Linked DNA regions of Drosophila melanogaster. The gene in region 3 interacts genetically with the main gene of each other region. Each region holds a gene or a part of one and is shown on either strand. Other genes may lie near its edges.

Region 1 (5,205 bases), on a different chromosome or scaffold from region 3:
GTGGGTATTTTCGGGGCGTTTGTCTTAGCTAACTTTCCGCCCGGGAAAGGAGAAACTTTTTCGGCTGCACTGTTGCACCCACCCACACACACACACCCATACACACTCTTACTCACACACACGAAGATCTATTGTAAAATATGTAAGAAAGTTTCCTTGGCCTGGGTGGGAAAACGCTGCGTTTTCGGGAAAGCAGCAGCAGCATCGACGTTGTCTTTGGGGAAATTAAACATTTTCTATTTGAAAACTTTGCCGTGTGTGGGGGGCGGGGGGTGTAACGGCATTTGAAGCGGTGGATTTTCCAAAGGTTCAAGAGCAACAGTTGCCTTTTGAACTGTTTCGGGTCGGTCACACTTTGGCACTGCGCTGGATTCCCTTTGTTCCACCCAACAATTGCGGAAGTCATAATTTCTCAGCCGGCCAAGTTTCTGGTTTTTTGACAAATTTAGCTGCAAATTGTCGGCAAAACTTTAGTTCCAGCTTAAAACTGGAATGGGTCTCCAGTCCCGTGCCTTCGGATCCAAATGTCAAGCGGCTTGCTGTCATAGGTGTTGCATATTTAATGCGCCGCCGCCGATGGCAACACACGCGGCACAGCAGCGCTGAGGAGCAGCTGCATCCCCAGCACGGCGATTCGGACAAGTGCACCCAGAGTGCATGCAAATATTTTTGTCAACGATTGTTTTGCCGGCTCCCTCGATTCCGAGTGGCGAGCTGTGACTGCGGGGGCGGGCGGGAAAAGTCCGGGAAAAGCGGGTCAGGGAAAAGGGAGCGAGGACGAGGACAGTGGTAACCCATGTTTTTGTTGTTGCCAACGGTTTGAGTAATTGTCGCTGGTGTGAAAATTGGCAACGATGCCATCGAGCTGGAAAAGGATTTACTGGGTTATGTATGAGCCAAAGGCTGATTGAGATGGAGGAGCAGCTGGATCGAGCTGGAAATGGCCATCGATGGACGTCTATGGCGTTAGCGATGTTGCCAAAACTGAAATATTCATTAGGCCAGCAAAAAAAACCAATTGAGGTCATTTGAAAAGTGGCCTTGCTTAGCAAATCTGTTGAATATTATAAAATGGTGAGAAAGGCACTTGCTTTTAACATAATTAATCCTTTTTTTTCAAGCATAACAGTTTAACAAAAGATCATGAATAGTACGCGAATATATCCCATTAACTAAATTAATTAAAGCCTCGTATAAAGCGAGCAAGCTTTCCTGATTTTGCGTAAATAAAATCAATTAAATAGAGCTAAAAAAAGCACACCCAAACAATATTTGACAAAAGAAAACGTAGATCCAGGGGCAAATTGAAAACACGATTCAGCCCGCCGAAAAAACCCAATAAAATGGTAATAAAAAACCCAGCAACCAAAAATGATTTTCACATTGATAAAAATTAAATGCGATTCGGGGCGAAAGCAATGCGATGTGTTGCATCTGCTGGGACATTATCAAATAATTCAGTTGTAATCCATTTTAATCCGCCTGCCTGGCTGCGAAACCGACCCACTTGACATGGCGAATCATCAAAATGTTTGTTTACTTGCCCCATGCCCCATGCCCCTTGCCCCTCGCCAGCTCTCTCCTGCCACTTTCCTCCATGAAAGTATTTATTTCGACATTTTGCTAAACATTGCCCAGATTTAAATCTGCATTCATGTAAAATTGCATAAATACATGCAAATATCGCTTGATGGAAATGTCCAGCTATATTTCAGTCACCCACGTTTTTTTTACTCTGCAGGAATTATTCAAATATTTAAGCGGCTTAGTGTAATGGCTGGTGAGTTTTGTCTCAAATCGGAGGACGGGTACAAAGCCGCTCTAAGCGAAAAGAATCGATGCGGCTGCTTAAATTATACTTTATAATTTGGGCATATATGTGGATTACCCCAATTGGCAATTGAACGTATAATAGTTCGGTTTTATATTCAATCGATTGCGCACAGGGCGTATTTATCATTCAAAATGTTTCAAATGCCAATATGGATTGTAATACATTGTAATACATATTCTTCTTACATTACAAAATAGATTCTTCGAAAGGTAGATAAGAAGAGTATTCCAAAGCTATTCCGTTTAATTAACAAAGAATCCCATAAAAAGAGGAGCACGCCCTTCACGAAAGTCAGTTAAAGAGAATGTTAGCCCCACTAATCCTCCTGCAGATTGTGGCTCTGCCTTGGTTGGCTCTCGGAGATCAGCGGATCATAAACGGAAACACTGTCAACATTAAGGATGCACCGTGGTATGCCTCCATCATAGTCAATTCGAAGCTCAAGTGCGGTGGTGCCATTATCTCGAAGAACTACATCCTGACTGCCGCCAAGTGTGTGGATGGCTACAGCGCCAGGAGCATACAAGTCAGGTTGGGAACCAGCAGCTGCGGCACTAGTGGATCAATTGCTGGAATCTGTAAGGTCAAAGTTCATAGCCAGTACTCCAGCTGGCGCTTTGACAATAACTTGGCTCTCTTGAAAACCTGCGAGCTACTCAACACCACCGATGAAATAAAGCCAATTGAGAGGGCCGACAAAGTGCCGGATGATAATTCTCGAGCCAATGTGACTGGCTGTGGTGGCAGATCAGGCAATTTCCTTGACCTTATCTTAGACTTAGAGGATTAGCAGCGGAATAGAAGAGAAGTGCTTCCAGCTGCCTGTCCAATTGCACGGCACTCAAGTGCGGATCCTTAGCCAAAAACAGTGCGCCGCCGACTGGAAAGTCATACCATTTTACTTACTCAAGGGAATCTCAGACCTGACCATCTGCACCAAGTCGCCGGGCAAGGGAGCCTGCTCCACAGACAGGGGTTCGCCTCTGGTCATCGACAACAAGCTCGTGGGCATCCTCTCCAGAGCGGGCTGCTCCATTAAGCCCGATGTCTATGCAAATATCCTGGGGCACACGAACTGGCTGGACTCGAATACGAAGGATTAATATCTTACTTGCTGTGAATAGTTTAATGATAATATTACCTTGCCTTCTGTAGATCTATATTTGAATTTGTAAAGCACAGAATAAAGAACATTGCACAATGGCTTAAAGTGAGAAAAATTTTAACACACCGTAAAGTAAAACAAATTAATTTGCTATGCTTTGTGCCAATACTATAAAATTTAAACAGCCTGCTATATGCACATTTATTTGGCATCATGCTTCTGCGATCTCTACCAATTTTCCTTGCACTCTTTGTCCTTTCCAAAAGTGACACGGGTGCAGGTGAAGATTCGGAAGAGGACGACGAAAACGACTGCAACCGGACGACTCTTGGTGGTCATCCCGTGAACATAACCACAGCGCCATGGATTGCTTCCATTTCGATCAAACAAAAGGCCAAGTGCGACGGAGCGATATACAAACTGAGTCACATTGTGACAGCCGGGAAATGTGTGGATGGATTCCTGAACAAGGTGATCCGTGTACGAGTGGGTAGCACTACGCGCAGCGATGGAGTCATCGAAGTAGCAGTCTGCAACATTACAGTTCACGAAAAGTTCACCGGCCAGACAGTATTTCACAATGTGGCCATATTAAAGTTGTGCGAACCGCTCGAGGCCTCCAAAACGATCCAGCCAATTCAGTTGGCCAACCAGCTTCCGTCTAATGGGGCAAAGGTCACGGCCAACGGGTGGCCCTCCTTCAGGTGGTGGGCAATGTATTGGAAGAAGTGTCTGGATGATGAAGCCTACAAGCTGCAGAAGGCCGAGGTGAAGCTACTTGGCCCTAGCCAGTGCACAGATCTGTGGGCGCGAAACAATTGGTCCAAAAAGAATTTTACAGATGACTTGTTCTGCACCGAGAAGTTCGCTAAGGAAGCCTGCTCTTTAGCGATGGGATCACCTGTGGTCCACAATGGCAAACTGGTCGGCATTATAACGAAAGGCGGCTGTTCGGAGTATCCAGAAGTCTATATCAATCTTATAAAGTACAAGGACTGGCTGCATAATCATACAAAGTAAACTTAAGCGTTCTCCCAATTAATTGTTAAAAAATACTTTGCCTTCGAGCTATGACTATGTGCAGATTAGTGCAAGTAATACGCAATACTTCCTATTTTGATAGAGCTTCGAAGTAAAGCCATCACTCAATTTGAGGTATGACTTTGCAGATAAGGAGCTCTAGCCTTGAAAACGACTTAACTTTTCCTATAAAAAGAGTCGCACATGCAGCTCTAAAAATCAGTTGTTTATAATGATTTGGAGTGTGTTCTTATTTCTGTTGGCTGCTCTTTTACGGCCGGTTCGTGGTGATCTGGATGCCCAAAGCCGCATCATTGGAGGTTATGATGTGGATATTGAAGATGCCCCGTACCAGGCGGAAGTAATAATAGATGGCACAGCAATATGCAGTGGGGCGATCATCACATCAGACACCATCATCACAGCAGCTTCGTGTGTCCAGTCCTACGGTTCAATTGAAGTACGCGTGGGCACCAGTTCCCGCGATTATGATGGAACTGGATTCCTGCTCGAAGTCTGTGAAATAATTAATCACCCGCAGTACAATTGCTGGCGTTTCGATAACAATCTGGCACTGTTGAAGTTGTGCGATCCGCTCAAGACCTCCGAAGCTATTCAGCCCATCAGCATAGCAGAGGATGAACCGGACGATGGTTCGTGGTGCACTGTCTCCGGCTGGGGATCCACCAGTTGGTGGGGCAGCTGGTGGGACAGGTGCTTCGGCAGTCTGCCGGACTATCTGCAGATGGCATGGGTCAGCGTCTACAATCGGGAGCAGTGCGCCGCGGATCGCGGTGTTTGGTTCGGACTCTGGGACAATGGCATCTCGTACCTTACCCTCTGCACTCATAATGGCGCCGGAGGATGCTCCTACGATACGGGAGCTCCCTTGGTGATAGATGGACAACTCGTGGGCATTCTATCCGAAGGCGGCTGCACCACCAAACCAGATGTCTACGCCAATGTACCTTGGTTCACAGGTTGGATTGCCGAGAACACCGAAGATGAGGATACAACCGCTTCGACAAGTACTTCTAGTGATAGTAGTACCACTGTGGCTAGCACTACAACTGCTACTGTACCGAGCACTGTACCTAGTTCTGAACCTAGCACAGAACCTGTTGCAGTACCTAGTACTGAACCTTCCACCAGTACCGTACCCAGTACCATATCTAGTACCTTACCTAGTACAGTCTCTAGTACCTTACCTAGTGCAGTCTCTAGTACCTTACCTAGTACAGTCTCT
Region 2 (5,288 bases), on a different chromosome or scaffold from region 3:
GTTCGGTAAAAACATGGATTCGAAGCGATAATGTAAAAGTTATGGAATGGCCACTATACTCCCAGGACCTTAATACAATAGAAAACGTGTGGGGATGGTTGGCTGGGAAGGTATACGAGGGTGGTAAGCAATATGTCACTCAAGAGAAATCGATCACCGGAAAAAAGTTCGGTTGGTCTACGATTACTTTGGATTACCTAGAAAAAATATATGATTCACTTCCCAGACGAATGTGTGAAGTCCTTGAAAACAAAGGAGAAGCAACTAATTATTAGTTTTCTTTAAAAATATTAGATTTTAAACATTTAAGTGATAATCATCTAACTTTTTTCGAAATTAATAAAAAAAAACCTAAATTGTCATAGGGGCGCTATCCTGATGTTTTTTTTCTGGTGTTTTTGTTTTTCTTTTTTATTTCAACAAAAATCTATAAACAACAAACTGCATCCCATATAAACTTTTCATTTATGAAATTTTACAACTTTTAAGGGAAAAAATTTCAAAAACTTTCGCTTAAGCAGTTTTCTAAATGTCTCACATCAAAGATTTTTACTCAAGGTGCGCTAACCTGGTGAGGCGCAGTGTACATATGTATATTATTCATCAATATGAACAAGCGAATCGAAATATTCATGCTTGTCCGACCGTTTCTAATCAAACTAGCCTCTTGTCCAAACCTCTTCTTTCCATTGCACGAAATATAAGAGATGGAGCAAGATTTATATTGTTAATTTGTTTTATGAATGGATTAACAAAATATATGTGCAAAAGTTTGTGTTATGCTCATAACCGAATTATCGGTCTAAAACCTTGTTCGTTTCCGAGAAAAATCGACTAACACGTCAAAGTAGAAAATTAGACCTGGTTGGGGCCGGTGAAGAAATTCCATGAAATATCTTCAATTGTTTTTTCAAAAACAAGACATTTAAAAACATTCCCTGACTCACCCAAAGTAAACTCCTTACCCTTTCTGTGAACAAGAAACTATTACCCTTGAACAAGTCATTGAAAAAAACTCTGCATGCTTATAAAAAACAAAATGTTGTTCTTGAATGGAGATTTATTTTAAAAAATGCCTATAACAATTAAGTCCGTTTTGCAAAAGTATTTGATAGACTGTGCCTGGCAAAAATTTTGTAATGTGGACCATTATAATGTTTTTTAAATGATGATGCAGCGCGGGCCGGGCTTTATTTCAAGGCCCGCGGGCCTTTGCCAAAAAAATTGGGTTCGGGCCTCAAATTCGTCTTTCGTGCCCTAAGAAAAAAGCCCGCAGGCAGAACCGAAAGTTAAACTTGTTTGTCACAATCTAACAGGCGAGAACATCCTCAATAACGTTAAGGAAATTATGGAAGAATACAGTTTGGATTCTAATATCGATAAATCTATTTTGTTTGTGATCGGAGAAAGTATTAAAGATGTGCGCCAGTGAAATGCTCGATTCTGAAACCATAATTCAGCTGAAAAATAATACGTTAAATTCTTTACATAAAAGATGTGCACCATAAACGGCACATTATGTTGGACTCTTCTTAAATTCTCCCGTTAAGGAAATGTGTTGCTTATCGCCAAAAGTTAAGGAGAATGTAATTGTAACTGTCAAAGCAATGCTTTCAGAAATGCAAAGTGATGAGGAGTTTTATAGGATTAAGAACTGCAAGCCCAGATAAAAAGGGGTTAGGACTGTTTGCAGAATTTCAGGATTAAAAATTTTTCAAAAAAACTTAGTTACAACTAAATTCTTATGATATTGAAATAGAAAAATATTTAAATGGCTGTGCAGCTACTTCAGACCAAAATGTGTTAGAATTTTGGAAATGTAGTGAACTCAAGTTATTGAATTGCCATTCCGGCAAGCTCAGCGAATAGCAAAAGATTATTTTCTACCTCTGGAATTGTATTAAATGAGCGATGTACACGTTTAAAATGTTCTAATTTAAAAAAAAAAATATTTTTAAATAAAAACTTGTCATAAATTATGTTTAAAACACCAAAACTGTACTAAATATTAAGTTTTTTGCAATCAACTTTGTTTACAAAATATAAGAAATATAAATATAAGAAAACCGACATACTTTAAATTAAAAAAAATTGCATTGTTTTTATTTTTTAATTTGTTCGTGTTTAGCTTGGGCAGGGCCCCGGGCTTTTTTTGGGACTAGGTTTCGTGCTCGAGACGGGACGGGCCTCAAGAAGTAGGAAGTCTTCCATTACCTAAGTAGCGTGTATCTTATACTTGCGGAGCTCACAACTATAGGATTTCTCTTGTTTTTATATTTTTCGGTTACAAATATATAGCGCTTGTTGTATGTATGTATGTATGTATGTACATATATACTACTCGACCGACTTGCCTAGTCCTGTTAATTAAGAACACATACGTATAATTCTAGAATTGTTAGCAAAAAAACGTAACTTTTTAAATTAAATATATGCTTATAACATTGTACAGAAATTACATTTTAAACACATTATAATTTTTCCGCCATTGTACATAGACTTTAATTTGTCGAATATCTCCTTTACTTCGTTGTTAACATTTAAATAAAATAACCAACAGCAAGGGTTAGAAATCGATATCCCTAAATCACCTTACCTGACGTCGAAAGGTGTGTTTTTCTTTTTCCAGGAACTTATCAATCTCTTTGGACTTGTAGCGCTGCTCCAGTTCCTCAGGGGTACTACGCAGCCTTACTAGATATGTGATAATATTTCCGCAACATCGAAAGCAAGCAAAGCGCGAGGTCTGAAGCCGACTGCCCTGAAGTCGCAGTCGCTCTGCTCCATTCGATATTAGGCCGTCTGTAGACGTGGTCGCTGCTTCTGGTCCAGTTACCGCTCCCACCCGCGTGCGATGCTCTTCCATAAGATGAGTCAGAGTACCACTAAGCGTGTCACTATCTATGTTGTTTTCGACGCCGTTCGTGATGACATTGTTGTTTGGAATGGAAATTCGTTCTTGAGTTAATTTGGTCAATGTAATGCCAGACATCGCTGGCAAGCCAACGCCTGATGCTCGCACTTTCTATATACACACACGAACACCAATACGTCAAACACTCCCCACACTAACAGCAGATGCTCATCGTCTTGCTTTCGCTTTAATTTATAAACAAACACTTTTTGAATTCTGCATATTCTAATTGTAGGCCTCATATTAGATTAAAAGGCGATGTTGCCATCTGAAAGCCATAACCATTATTTCTACATGGCATCAGACTTAAACGCAACACAAATTCCGGAATAAAGTTCACACCAATAAGACACTGAACGTGATCGTTATTAGGTTATGACACTCTCAGCCATTACATTTACGTTTCTTTAGGAATATAATTGTAATTATATATGGAGCAAACAACAGCGGTGATAATAATTTTTGCCTGTATATAAAACATAAACATTCGTGTCAACTTTGTTATACCATGTTCCCACAGATCAGTTTTTCGGTGAAATTGGTTCCATATGTGAACCAATTTGACAATATTATAAGCAACAGGTCCAGCTCTTTAGTGTAAAGAATTATTAAAAACAAATTATTATATCGGGTTTACCAGGAATGTAATTTATAATTTAATTTTAAATTTTAAAGCATATAAGATAAAAAGAAAATGAGAAGAAAATATTATTCTTTAATTGGGAACAAAACAAATCAGTTACAATAACATTAATAAAAAAATTGGTTGTAGAATATTTCTTTAAAATTAAAACTTTATTTTAATGAAGTGACTTTTGGAGAGGGCACGTTCCCTTATAGGATGACCTGTATGGGATGAAAATTAAAAAAAAAAAAACATTTTTAACTTTTGCTATGGATACAGTAGCATTGATTGGTTTAATTCGCATTCTGTTTTATTTCGATATTAGGTTGATCCAATACACTAAAGCTAGGTAAGATTCAAAAAATATTTTTATATCTTAATCTTAATATCATGGCCATTAGCTTACATAGAGAAATAAATAAATAAATATTTATTCCGTTTTGCGTGCTCGCCACCTGTGTTTAAGATTTTTGGAATTCGTTTAGATTCTTTGTAAGGCTGTCAACTAATTAAAGCTAAGCTTAATATTGTTTAAGAGAGCTGGGCAGAAGGCTTTATTTCGGAAGCGGTGATCAGACTTGATGACAGCGTACTGTACTTTGCATCCGTCTTATAGCCCGGGGTGCAGCATGGCCGCCCTGGACGGCGGAACTACCAGGGTTCGAATAAACAATGTCACATCGAATTCAAACATTTTACACAATGTAATTCCGCAAGGTTCGCCAATTTCTGCGGTTTTATTTATGATTGCAATTGAAGAAATAAATAACATTGTAACTCGGCAAAAATATATTTACATCTCACTTTACAAAAATAAAAAATATTCATACAGTCAGCACAAAATTTTTAGAAATATTGCACGAAAATACCTCTCTGCCATTGAAAAATGCCAACTATTATAATTTGACGGAAAAAACGTTGTAATCTCTCCGCACAATAAATGATGTAAACTTTTTAAAAAATTTGGGGATGACCTTCGACTGCAAACTACTTTTCAAACAGCACTGTCAGATTCAAAGAAAACAACTGGAAACTAGATTTCACATTATTAAATTTCTATCATCTAAATATTCGTACATATAACTAAGACTCTCATAGATATTACGATTACGCACGCATTAATGCTATTTAAAATTGACTACCGTCTTCCAATCTGCGGCAGGCTAAGTGTTGGCGACAATACAAGGACAAAAGCAGGCTAAGTGTTGGCGACAAAAACAAGGGCAAAGGCAATGCTGTTGAGATTGGAGTGTGAAATTTGCTTATCAAATGGGCAGAGTTTATATTATGGGTTGGATAACTTGGCGGAATTCCGCGTAGAAGAAACTACATTGATGCTAATCTCGAAGCTGTACACCACGTCCAACTGCCTGCTAACCCATGACTTCGGAGCCATTTTCAAGCAAAAGCTGAATTTTTAATGCATATCCACTCTAACACGTTGCGCTGACTACATCAAGCAACTTGACCTCACCCTGCCTATGCACATTGGGGTTTCAAACAGCCTTCAGATCTACAAAGCTGAAAAAAAAGAAAGAAAAAGAAAAACTGAATTAATACCAATGGTTCTAAAGTCAACGACTCAACCACTTTTGTGGTCACCTTACTCTGGGTTCCCAATCATCAAGGAATCCACGGACTCGCTGACAACTGACAAACTCGCTGACAAAGCCGCCCAAGAGATGAGACTTACACCATCAGCCCTTTTGACTCTGCTTAGCTGCAAGGATATCCAAAGCTATACCTCAA
Region 3 (5,106 bases):
CATTAGCCGATTTCTTGGAATCCCCTTGAAAGCATTGTACAGAATGGGAATAGGATAGATTCCAGAAATTCCAGAACAAATAATCCCCAAGTTTTTCGTGTAAGTGGAGGTCGTATATTGCCATCGGTTTTTGGTTTTCGGCTTTTGGGCCCTCAGGCACGTACTGCCCTATGGATCGACCGTTTAATGCTGTTTGCCCCGATGCAGCTGAATCAATTTTACCACGGCTGCATAGCCATGGGCACAAGGGACTCAAGAGCCTCGAAAATAATTTCGTGATAGATTCGTTTTTTTTTTCGGTTGCTGATTTCATTCCACGTTCCCGGGGGGGTATCAACATAGGCATAAATATATGTATGTCCGGAAGACAATAGCTGTATAGATAATTTGAATCGGATAATTATTTTAGGAGTTATGGCTGAGTGACGGCTATCTGATAGTCGAGGCAATCGAAGCGAACTCTATCTATATAGTATTCATACATATGTATGTATACGTACCATCACAATACCCGTAATTTAATTTTCGTGCCGTCTGTAACACTTTCTATTGCTGATAATGACTTTTGGAGCATTTTGCGGGCGTTTTGGAACTTGCACAAAAAACATTTTGTAATTCATGTCTGCGCAAAAACAAATAAAAGAACGAGTCCACGGAAAAATTTACTAAATACACACATAAATATGGCCATTTTTCTCAGTGTGCATGTCAACAATTTCCCAGTCACTTGAGTGCTTGGCCACCCTTCCAGCTCTTTATTTTTTGGACAGTCGGTTAAATGCAATTAACTTGGTTACACTTTCATGCGGGAATAAAATTTTGGTACCGAAATTCGTTCATGGTTTGCTTTTAGTTTTCCATTTTAAGCCGCAATATATTTTGCGTCCAGCGGAAGTGATCACTTTGCCACATTGGCGCTGATAGTCACCGCGTGACTTCATCGGCATTATCATCATCATGTCCATTACCAGCGAACTCATGGAACTCACCTCTGTAAACATAATCGTGAACTCACTTGTTTGGCAAATGTTTGAGAGCGAACCCCGATAAGACACCTAATGCGCCTCGAATTGGTGTAGTTCGATTGTTTTGGTTGCATGATGACACTAAGGTCAGTTGTCATCCATTGTGGTCACGTCGTGAAATTGGTTTTTGCAATAACTAGTAAGGCGCTTGACCAGATTGAGAAATGTGCACGTGTCTATTGTTGTTCAAGAAGTGATTAAAAATGCTTTTAATATTTATCAGTTCGCTTTTAGGGAAACTATACCTACTCGTCAGTCAATGGCATGAGCCCAAACATATTCATGCTGAATCCATTTGGACGCGTAATAGCTACTTCGAAAAGCATTAGACTAAATACCTCCCGATTTGGTCATTTAAGATCTCAAGAGCCAGCTCTGTATCTGCAGAATGGCTAGATTTCCCACATCCGCAGAGTCAGAAGGTCAGCATCGGGCGTGAGACCGGAAAAACCGCTAGGATAAGCCCACGAAAACGAGACATCCTGATACCCAGGAAATAATGAAGCAGGATAATAAGGAGTACCAGAAACGAGATACTGTGGGTTTCGAATCTGTTATCCAAATTTTCTGGGCTGTATACATTTCGCTGGCTTCCTTTCAATTTAATTTGCATTAAGAAACAAGTTTCGCAGCGCAAAGTAATAATGGGTTATTCGATGGGCATTATAAAACACACATAAACGTTAAATAAAAATACATACAATCCACTTACTTTTGCTGTTTTATATCCCAAAACAAAGATGCCGAAGAAGGTGCGCTGCTTTTGCTTTTAGTTGCTTCTTCTTTGTCTTTTCCCCACTTTTGTTTTTCTTTGATTGTGGGTTAATATCAAGTTGTTGTAAAAATAAATTAGCATACAAATAAATAATAAACACCACAAATTGGCTCGTTTTGAATTTCGATTTGATGGCGGTTGAGCTTAATTTTTTGTTTGGTTTATTAAGAATTTTATATGTATGTGTTGATTGGCTTGCTGGTAAGAGCCAGTTCAAACTTGTAAGATACTAAATTTTTTTCAGTTGCTTAAAGTTTTCCCGTCGCTGGCTGCCTTTCATTTTTCGCTGCAGTTGTTAGGCTCATTAGGACAACACGGTTTTGTATTCGATTTTGTTGATTTATCTATTTTATTTCTCCAACTGTATCACATGTATTATCATATAATTCACAAAGACTTTTGCGCACACGAAAAAAAAACACACTACAACAAATCGACTTCAAAAGGTATCAATGGTAACATCCTGTTTGGGAAAAACGAAAGAGAATTATTTTGTATGCAACATTGAGTGCAATTCAAAAATAATGCCTACATGTGCACCGAAAATAGCTTAAGATTGTGAAATATTGTAGATATTTAATATATATCATTGTGAAATAACGTTAACTAAATATTTATAACTCAAAGCTAAGCTTCAAATTATGGTTGGTACTAGTATTTTAAAGTTGATCTCGGGTTTTTCAGTAGGCGAATCTATATGTACGGCGCACATATATTTTTAAGATTATAAATTATCGGACGCCTGTTGCTGTAAAGACAACAACAAGTACAACGACAACTGTTTCACAATGTAGTATAAACACAAAAGCGTAGTATATTTATACATGCCTCGTAGTATGTATTTTATTTTATTCTACTTTATTTTCACTTCGTTCGTTCTCTCTTTCCTGTTTCCTTTTACAGATAAGCATTCGAATGTTTTTTTGTTTTGTTTTAGTTTAGGTTCTTGTTCAAATTCAAATTAAAATCGGGTCAAATTTAGATAAAATAAAAGCACACGAAGAAACGTTTTTAAGGGACACAATCAGAAGATATTTATGTATATTACAAATTTATATTCCCATGTTACTATTTGCTTTTAAGTTATATGCGCCACGTTTTGACCGATTGCACATGTCTCTTAAATATCGAATTTATGTTACAAATTCAATCGAAATGATAGTGTTACTTTACTTTTTTCATTTGCTACTATTGTTGGTGATTTTTATCCGCTTTCTTCCCCCCTCATTTCTTTTAAGTTTTTTTTTTTGAAGAGACTGTAGCGGGCGGACAAGAGAACACGCACCGTTACCGATCACGTTCACAGTTGTTTTTTGAATGAGAAGCGGCTTCGAAACGTGTCGTCGCAGGCGTCGACGTCGGCGCCGCAGTCGCTGCGACAGACAGAGAGTGGTCAGATATAAATATACATGTACTGTATATATGTATATGTACGCGCGTTCGACAATGATCTTAGCCGAGAGAAAAGAGCCGATGCGCGGCATTAGGGAACTCTTTTCAAAGAGCGCGCTGAAGCCGCGCTCAGTTTTCATTGCTCTTAAGTTGCAACTGCACAAAGAAATCATTTTGCTGTTTTGATCGTGCATTGTTTTGAGTATGTATGTCATTAATTTAAAACAAGAGAGAACGCTATAGTCGAGTTCCCCGACTATCAGATACCCGTTATTCAGCAAGTCCAAGTGGGACGAGACTTTTCAACATTTTTCACGAACATTAGTAGAAATTGGTGGGAAAAAATTAATTTTAATTCTCTAAGGTCTGGGCAGGATATATTGGGCGGTTTAAGATAGCATATCTTCGGCATATCTATAAATTGGAAAAACAACTGGTTTAATACAAAAAAATTAAATCATTTCTCAAAAGTGTGGGAGTGTCAGTTTTGGTGCATTAGAGTGGGAATTTTTATCATATCGATAAAAATTAACAAGAGTCATAGAAATATGGAAAACTATCAAAACATTATGCAAAGGTGTGAGCGTGGCAGTTTTGGGAGGTTTGTGGGCGTGGCATCATGGGGAACAAACTTTCGCTGCGTCTAATGTCTCTAGAATCTAGCTTTTATATTTTCTGATATCTCGACGTTCATACGGACGGACAGACAGACGGACATGACCAGTTCGACTGGTCCTGATTGATCCTGATCACGATACATATATACACATGTACATATACAAGTACATGTACATATACATATACATATATGGTTGAAAACGCTTCCTTCTCCCTGTTACATTCTTTTTAACGAATCTAGTATACCCTTTTACTCTTCTCGACAATTCTCTTTTCTTTTTTGTTTTTCCCATACATGATTAACATTTTCTTCTGTTATGTTCTCTTGTTCTCAATTAGGGAGATGCTCTCTTTTGGCCGCCTGCAAAGGATGATTAATGATGTTCTCTGCTTTTAATTTTTTCTGAATGCTGCTAGTTGTTCAATTTAAAAAGGCAGTACGGCTCTTCCTGGTAATTTTCCGTTGGCTGTTTGTTTCTATTTACATATGTACTATGTATGTATGTATGTACCTTATTAAATAAAATTTTTATTTTCAATTTTGTCCGAGTTCGGTAGACCCCTACAGACACTACTAACATTCGGAAATATGTAAGGCTAACTGGAGTGGCCGGCTTAATAAAAATATCTCGGAAAAGCTGGAAAGTCGGAGATGGATTTCCTCGAAACCTAATTGAAGTTGATAGCAGTCATGGTTTTGTTCCCCGTCATCATCATTGGGCACTGAATCGCAAATCGCACTTCTTGGTAATTTTAGCCGCCACTTGAGCCTGTGCCGGTGTTTAGGCCAACATAATGGCCAATTAAGGCCACTTTGTCGTTTACAGCGTTTCAATTTCGATTTGATTAAGGTGAATTCCCTTTATTTTTTATGCAGTGATTCCGGCTAAAATTCATGAATAAAAGCAATTTTATGTAGATGATATAGATCATTACTTTAAAAAATAAATTTACAGAGTTAGCTTAGGGAACTAAAAATGACCACAACTAAACTAAGGGTATTTTGCCAAGTGTACGAATTGGGATCATCCCCATTTCCCTATTCTCTCATTCTTCGCCGTCTTCCCTTCGTATGGACTTATCGATGCGATGGTCAAGTGTGCGGGGCTCGTCTTCGGTCATTCGCCCAAAAACTAAAAATCGAAGAAACAAAAGTTAAACAAATAAGAAAAAATACCGAAATGTGTTTTCGTACTTTTCCTTCTTCTTGCGCAGATGCTGCGTTGTTGTGAAGCAAAAGTGATTTAAGTGAAATCAATTAAAAAATTTCGTTTTCTCTCGATTGTTTGCCTTCGC
Region 4 (7,160 bases), on a different chromosome or scaffold from region 3:
GATTATTTTCATTAATCTAGGACTATTTACACGGACATTGCTAGCAACTAAGAGTTTTCGGATTCTTTGAATCTGCAAGGTAGAATGTGTGTGATTAGTTGTGGAAGTGAAGGAATATGTTTATCAGGACACCTACTTGCACTTAAGGCAGGTAAAGAACACCGTCTGGCCTTCGTCCGCCGATCGAAGCTGCAGGGTGGCATAGGACATCTTGTCGTGGTTGCACTTGGGACACTTCCTCTCCACAACGGGGCCATCCGCGTCCGATTCCGACTCCCTTTTCGTCCTGTTGAACACCTTGCTGGGATCGTAGGTGTTGAAGTGTATGGTAAACTCGGACTTCTCGCCGCTGTAAACTATTTTTAAGTGTTAAATAAATTAAACAAAGTTGTAATTTCTGGATTTACCATCTGGCTGAAACTCCTTCTTGCAGTTGTAGCAAATCACATTGCCCTTGACTTGAAGCTCGGGCAGAATGGAGCCGCAGGAGGGGCAAAAGCCCGGACAATTGGAAAAAATATCCATGCCAGTATATATCACCCAAAATCAAAATCAAAATACAAAAACCGCACGTGCTATTTCGGATTTCAGTATGAGCGTAACTGAACCGTTTGAAATATACCACACGGTATTAAAAATATACTTGATTCATATACTAAATACGTAAGGGTGGAAAACTAGAATAAGTCTGGTTGAAAGCCTTGATGAAACGGGTAGAGCCGTTTACCCGTTTCGATTACCGGTTCTTAATCAAAATCAATTATTCAAAATAAACTTTCAAAATAGTATTTGATATTCATAGCCAATATTACGTAATGAAAACAGTTAGATTTTAATAGCCAATATCAAGTTATGAAAACAGTAAGATTTTTACTTTTATCTTTACTTTGTATTAAAGTTTACAAAACTATTACATCAATAAGGCGATCTTACGGTCTAGTTAGCTGAAATGCAAGTCGGATGTGTACTGTGTTCCAATTAAACTACCTAAAACTATCACAGGCAGAACATTAACTACGCACTAGAGGTTCCTAACTACAACTAAGCATCTAGGAACTATTGATCCTTGGCTGCCACATATCGCACAGTATATATATATTTAAAATGCAGCTATCGGGTGGGATGACTCTGCGGCATGTTAAGCTCCCAGAGCTTCACATTGTTGTCGAGAACCTCGTGGTACCAGCTCTCCTTTTCCGGCTCCTCCCGGAAGATGGGCTTCAGCGACTTGAGGTCCAACTGCAGTATGGCATCGTTGCCGAGCAGCGAGTCCAGGGATCGCAGTAGAGTACTATTACCGTGCAGTTTCAGCAGGGTCACATACTTGACCACATAGTACTCGTACTGCAGCTTCCTTCTCGCCCATCTTTCCACTGTAGCATTGGCACTAGCCGATCGAATCTGGCCCAGATGGGCGGCAAACCAGGGCGCAAAGTAGTTGTAAAGATCCAACTTGGACAGTCCGTTCAGACCTTTACTCTTGATTCGCTCCTTGATCATGCTGTAGTTCTTCCTGCTGTACACAAACACCTGATACAGCGAATTGCCGGTGGTGTATGAGTTTACGTAGTGGGTGCCCACATCTTCCATAAATCGCACTGCGGAAGTTATATTTCCGATTTGCAGTTGATCCATTCTCGATCGCACATCCGGCTCCAAGGGTTGGTGCACCGGAATCTCAGCGTTAAGACGCCCCGTTTCCCTGAAGCGCACCACCCTCACCAAAACATACGAGTAATCGCCTTGGATGAAAGATGTATTGATGCCCAGCTTCTTGGCCGCATTATCCGGAAACCATCCGCCAGTAAATGCCTCCCACGGTTTGTCCATTCGCTCAATGGAAAAGTCACGGAAGTAGGCCTGGAACAGTTGCCTCCGATTCTCGCAGAACTCCATGTGAAAGTCTCCATGAAAGATTCCGGGCGTGGTGTCTTCATGACTCTCCGCCAGGCCACTCAGATTCTGAAAGAAAAAAATCATTAATTATCTAATTGTCTAGTCAGCTCAATTATCAGGTAATAAATATCAAGTGACATACTTGAATAATCGTATATAATGATCGTTTTCCTAAATCTGATCAAACAAATATAATAAGCGCTCATTCTAACGACAAACGTGGCGGAAGTGAACAATATAATTACAACTAAAAATAGTTTTAAGTGATAACAACTTTAAACCCTATTTTAAAATTTTGATTATACTCCAAATAATTATGGTGATTGTGGTTAAAGGTTAATACAAACAATTCCGAGTTCATCAACGCCATTTAATTTATTAAATGTAAGCTTAACTCTGCCTTAAGTCCCTTACCCTATAGATGTTTTTGGTGGGCTCCTTAAACACCCAGCGATCCGGCTCCGAGTTGTCATTGAGCGGTATCACACGCATGGAGATTCCCAGGTAGCCATAGCGCAGGAATATATTGATGGCCTTGCCGATCCGGAGCTGGGACTCGCGACGACCTCCATCCGCCAGGAGCGCCAGGGTCAGCAGCCAGAAAAGGCCAGGCCACGACCGCATCGCTCAGCATTCAAGGTTAGATCTATAGAGGATTATAATAGAAATATTATATTGCAAATTTAAAGCGATTACACTTGAATTAGGCAAACGTTTCCATATTCCATATCCATATAATCCCTTGCTATAAAATATTATTGATTGAAACAAACGCAACCTATTCCGATCTCTTATAAAATTCGCAATTTAACAATAATGAGGCATATCTATCCCACAATAATTTATTCAAGTGACTAGATAACTCTTGATTGCAATGTGCATATTGATGACAAGCAAGTACAAACAGCGCTATACCATCCGAACTCATTACTCACTTAGACTAAAACCGGAAAGTTTTACAGCAAGCTACTTCGGTGGTTTGTTTATATTTTATAGCCAGTGCAGTAGTTGCGATACAGTGGGGTTAACTAAACAGCAATAATTGCAGGGCCGCCGTGTTTGTTTTCCACTCCATAAACGGGCGATAATATAAGCGCGCTCTAATTGGCCATGAACCTTCAGTGGCGCTGAACTTGAACCGACCAAGTCGACTTGGGTAGAGGCCACCAGCTGGTGGTGATGATGAGCTGGAGCTCTGCGTAGCTCCACTCTGATCACCTTAAGTGGATGCAATTAGCCGCAGGCTCTGTGGCCGTAAAAGCAGCTACAAAGTATAGCCATCAAAATTGGTTCGGCTGTCGCTTTGACTTGCAAATTATTTCCTAAAAACATTTTGCATGCCTCGTAACCGTTTTCCTATAGTTGGCCCACTACACTTCAGAGGACCGGTTATGCCGTTTTTGTTTTTTTTTTTTTTTTTTTCTGTCCAAGCATTATGGCCGGCAAGGAAGCCAAACAAATTGGCCCAAGCCAGACATATACACACATTCTAACAGCTTGGCGAGGCAGCTTTTAATTCGAGCCGTTATCACAGAACGAGCGACGTGTTTGATGGGCCAAAAACACAGAGGTTAGCCGGGTGTTAGCCACGTTTGTGAGTCACACCTGTCGACCCGACGCACTGAAGCGCAGCACCAGACAAAAAAAAAACACAAACGCAGCCATGATGAGACTCAAATGTTAACCATTTACGTGAACCATAAAATGTAGGCGTCGCTAAACTTGTCCAGCAGCAAAAACTAAACAAAAAACAGCAGGAAGAGTGACTGAATGAAACTAGCCGTGAATGGAACAAAGAAAAAGAGACATTTGACTACTGCATCTTGTCTATACTTGCCTATAGTACATATATTACTGCCCATGGGCGCGATTCCAGGAAATATTTGTTTGCACATTTTATAAACACATGAATATTTGCTAAATGCTGCAATCAGCTGTCTTGACCTTACAGATGAACCTCACAGATTGCAATCACTCTACGGATTTAAACATTCTGACTCGGCATAGAATACGATTTCGAAGGCTTCCAACTTCTGGCAAACAACTAATGCCCAAATGAGCTTAGTTCTCCATCGCGAGACCCAGAAAATCAAACTGTCGCACAATTGCCAAACTTGAGGTTCAAAATTTGAGATCCGCTTGAAAGGCATGTGTTATGTGACTTAATGATAGTTAGTTTTGTCGGTGGGGGTATTGACAATAGCGGACGCATAACCTTGTGCAAAAGACCCCAAAAAAAAAAAGAAGCCGCGAACCGGAGTTCGAGATGAAGAAGACGAATTAAATCAAAAATTCAATGCGCGCACTCGGACTCCAAAGCAAAGGCAACTAAAAATCAACTCGTTCAACTGTGACTCCCTGTGCACTGGGAGAAAAGAGTGTGGCTATCTAGGACTAGAACTGAATAAGAGAAGAATCAGTCAGCTCTTAACTCCTCTTTTGAGCTATTTGGAATCTTATTCCAATTGTTTATGCTTTTATCAGATTTAAATCGTTATTAGATTTGTTATTTGGCCTATATTTATCCAATAAGATTTTATAATGTGTATTTTTCTTGGACATCCTAAAAAACCTGCATACATTTCTCTCAGTGCTTCCCACCGTGGTTGTCCGCGGCCCAGTCAATTGGAGATTCTTTATGCGCATTTCATGAGCTCTTTTGTGGTAGTAGTCTGGAGTAAACCCCGGGCGAAGGGCACAGACGTGGGGCATAAGGTCTGCAGTTTATATCGCGCTTAATTTTATGCTTGGTCCGTGTGCGTTGTTTCCTTGAGCGGTGTTAAACAAAAGTTGTCTTGACTGCTGCTGAGGTGCTGCTGCTTTTGCCACTTTTGTGGTAGTATTATTTACCTGCACGAGAACTCGAACGCGAATCGAAATTGACGTAACCATCGGCCAGAAGCGGCTTGTTTTATTTTCGGCAGAAGCTTGAAGCTCCGGCTAATTCTATATGCCAGTCGACACAAATCCGCAGGTCTAGAGTTGTGGCTCGCCACTGGTTAGCCTTATCGCTCTGATACCGGGGGCCATTGCACAAGGCTGGTTGGCTGGCTTTATGGCTGGCATTAGCATCGTTAAGACTCCGATTTTTAACGCTTTGTGGGTCAGAGGTCGGCGGCTTGGTTGGCGCCCTCAAGTGATAAGACGGATCTATGAATAGATCGCTGTGGTTCGAATTACATGCGTTTGCGCAGATTTCAACAACCAACAACGTACACACACACACACACAGGCAGTCGTCAAGTACCCTGAACGGCAAACACTAAAACAGACTTAAAACACACTAAAACGAGCGACGACGTGCCTTCAATTGCAATTATAAGCCGGAATTTGCGGCAGCACTTACACTCAAAACGCGAGCAGCACACCTTCAAGCGCGAAGACTCAAAACCTAACTGAAACTGGCTACCAAAAACTCGATCGCCGGAGAGAACAAGCCGATCCGTTCAAGCAGCTACAGCAGCAGCAACAATATATGTTGCGCTACGACAGCAACATGTTGCTGCTGTGCGTCGTGTCGTCTGATCCAACCGAGCAACTGGCAGCAGTTGCAGTTCAATGACTGGCAGCCAGCAGAAGTTCTACTCCTCCAACGGTAGTGGCTATGGCTAATGCTAATGGCCTGGCACAAATATCTATTGTTGACATCTGCCGTTTGGGGGGACAGCTTTTCCGCTTATTAATATTTCCGAGCACGTCGTTCAACTTCCAGTTTTCTTCAATGGCGCGGGGAGTCGGAGGGCTGCCGAATCGAGGCAGATTGAAATGATTGCAGTTTACCCGGGCCAGACTTGCGCAAGATTCCCATAGAACTGGGCGGCCAGTAATCAAAAACTTTTGGTACTACTTGTGCAAAAAAAAAACTAATAATGAGACCAAAAGTAAGCCGAAAAATAAAAACGAAAACGAAAGTATCAAATTCGCATTACCTTGAAAACATGCTAACAAATTTGGGTCAACTCAAAGTGTTGGGCGACAACGTTTGAAGTTCGAGTGTAATGTTTCAATTAGAAGCTCAAGATACAAATGTATCTGTATCTGTATCTGTTGCTCAAAGAGCCATGGCTGCAGGGCATCCGCTTTGTCGCATTTGCCTTGACTTCCAATGGCCATTGGGAATTTCTGCAAAATTCGCTGCTGGCTTCTAAGAAATGAAAAGGTTCTGATTTGAAGTCTTTTTTTGCTGCTGATATGGGGGGGGGTCTTTCTTTTGGAAGAGGCGTTGGGGGAAGGGCTTCCGAAAAGTATTGCAAAAGCTGGTTGAAATTGTATCTCTCGTATATTTTTCTCTTTTCATATATAGAAGTTCATTTTATTACTTTTGTTTCGGTTTCTGTGTGGGTTTTGCTTTGTCTTTGCAGCATGCATGATTCAAAACTTATGTATTTAAAATTCGGTATTTCAGTGTTTACTCGTTTTTATTTAATTCTCATTCCAGTTTCTTCGGTTCTTTTTCATTTAATTTATTATTATTAATCCCATGTTTAAACTATGTATATATAATGACATTTTTATCATTTATTTTAAATGATATTTACTAACACCGCGGCCTTCTGCGCCCCAAACGATCGATCGATCTGCCGATCCATTCATTTCACTTCATTTATTATTATAATAACAATTCACTCAATTAGCTCAAATCGCGTCAATCTACACATATTGACATTGGAGATCATAAGCATTTTCAACTCATCTTTACCATCGTTACCCTCGGTATCATATCATCATCATAATGATCATTGACTTATGAAATTAGAGAAAAATTCTAATTCATTTGGTTTACGCGACCGTGTTCATCTCACTTCTGCGTCTTCCTTTTCTTTTTTTTTTATGTAATATCAACAATAAATTTTTACTTAATCTTAGTGTGAAATTATTCTTAGAGTACAGCTACAATCTGCTCGCATCGGCTAAGAAAAAAGGATCAAGTAAAAGTACGAAACGAATCATTCGAAATCCTAGCTCAATCTCAGGATACTCTCTGTCGGTATCGTTTTCTTTTTTTACCCCCCATTTCCAATTCATTTCAATCGTTCCTAATCATTGTAATACCGTAAAATATAAGATTTTGATTTGAGCATTCTTTTCCTAATCATTTCATCGATTTTTGGTGTTTTCTGGCACACTTAGCCTGGTTGGGGGAGCTTCAAAATGTACATACATCTATCTCAAGCCGTGTCATCTATAAGGTTCCTCCTCCTATCTGATCTCATCTCATCTCATCTCGTCTCGTCCGTTCGTTCAATCTATCGTTCGCTTTAAGG

Evidence for each region.
Region 1: of fog (region 3) and twi, changing one suppresses a phenotype caused by changing the other (phenotypic suppression), as found in Drosophila melanogaster (one study listed by BioGRID).
Region 2: of fog (region 3) and cta, changing one suppresses a phenotype caused by changing the other (phenotypic suppression), as found in Drosophila melanogaster (one study listed by BioGRID).
Region 4: of fog (region 3) and tsl, changing one suppresses a phenotype caused by changing the other (phenotypic suppression), as found in Drosophila melanogaster (one study listed by BioGRID).

The regions. Positions count from the first base shown.
Region 1 is NT_033778.4:22,983,262-22,988,466, reverse strand, and holds the start of twi (twist), read right to left. Parts: upstream 3,094-5,205; 5' UTR 2,976-3,093; exon of another isoform or gene 2,938-2,975; coding exon of another isoform or gene 2,139-2,937; exon of another isoform or gene 1,918-2,138; intron 1-1,917. Other genes in the region: CG32833 (uncharacterized protein), read left to right, coding at 3,153-3,959; CG32834 (uncharacterized protein), read left to right, coding at 4,192-5,205. UniProt on the Drosophila melanogaster protein: Involved in the establishment and dorsoventral patterning of germ layers in the embryo.
Region 2 is NT_033779.5:22,979,902-22,985,189, reverse strand, and holds the start of cta (concertina), read right to left. Parts: upstream 3,375-5,288; 5' UTR 2,993-3,374; coding exon 2,597-2,992; intron 1-2,596. UniProt on the Drosophila melanogaster protein: May play a role in a signal transduction pathway used during gastrulation. Required specifically for the ventral furrow and posterior midgut invaginations, where it is necessary for coordinating cell shape changes.
Region 3 is NC_004354.4:22,852,070-22,857,175, forward strand, and holds the start of fog (folded gastrulation), read right to left. Parts: upstream 3,126-5,106; 5' UTR 2,974-3,125; exon of another isoform or gene 1,738-2,973; intron 1-1,737. UniProt on the Drosophila melanogaster protein: Coordinates cell shape changes during formation of the ventral furrow and invagination of the posterior midgut primordium, by inducing apical constriction of cells in spatially and temporally defined manners.
Region 4 is NT_033777.3:21,777,242-21,784,401, forward strand, and holds tsl (torso-like), read right to left. Parts: upstream 5,296-7,160; 5' UTR 5,243-5,295; exon of another isoform or gene 4,747-5,242; intron 4,665-4,746; exon of another isoform or gene 4,477-4,664; intron 2,543-4,476; 5' UTR 2,521-2,542; coding exon 2,311-2,520; intron 1,963-2,310; coding exon 1,111-1,962; 3' UTR 873-1,110; downstream 1-872. Other genes in the region: Polr1H (RNA polymerase I subunit H), read right to left, coding at 48-72, 137-356, 408-525.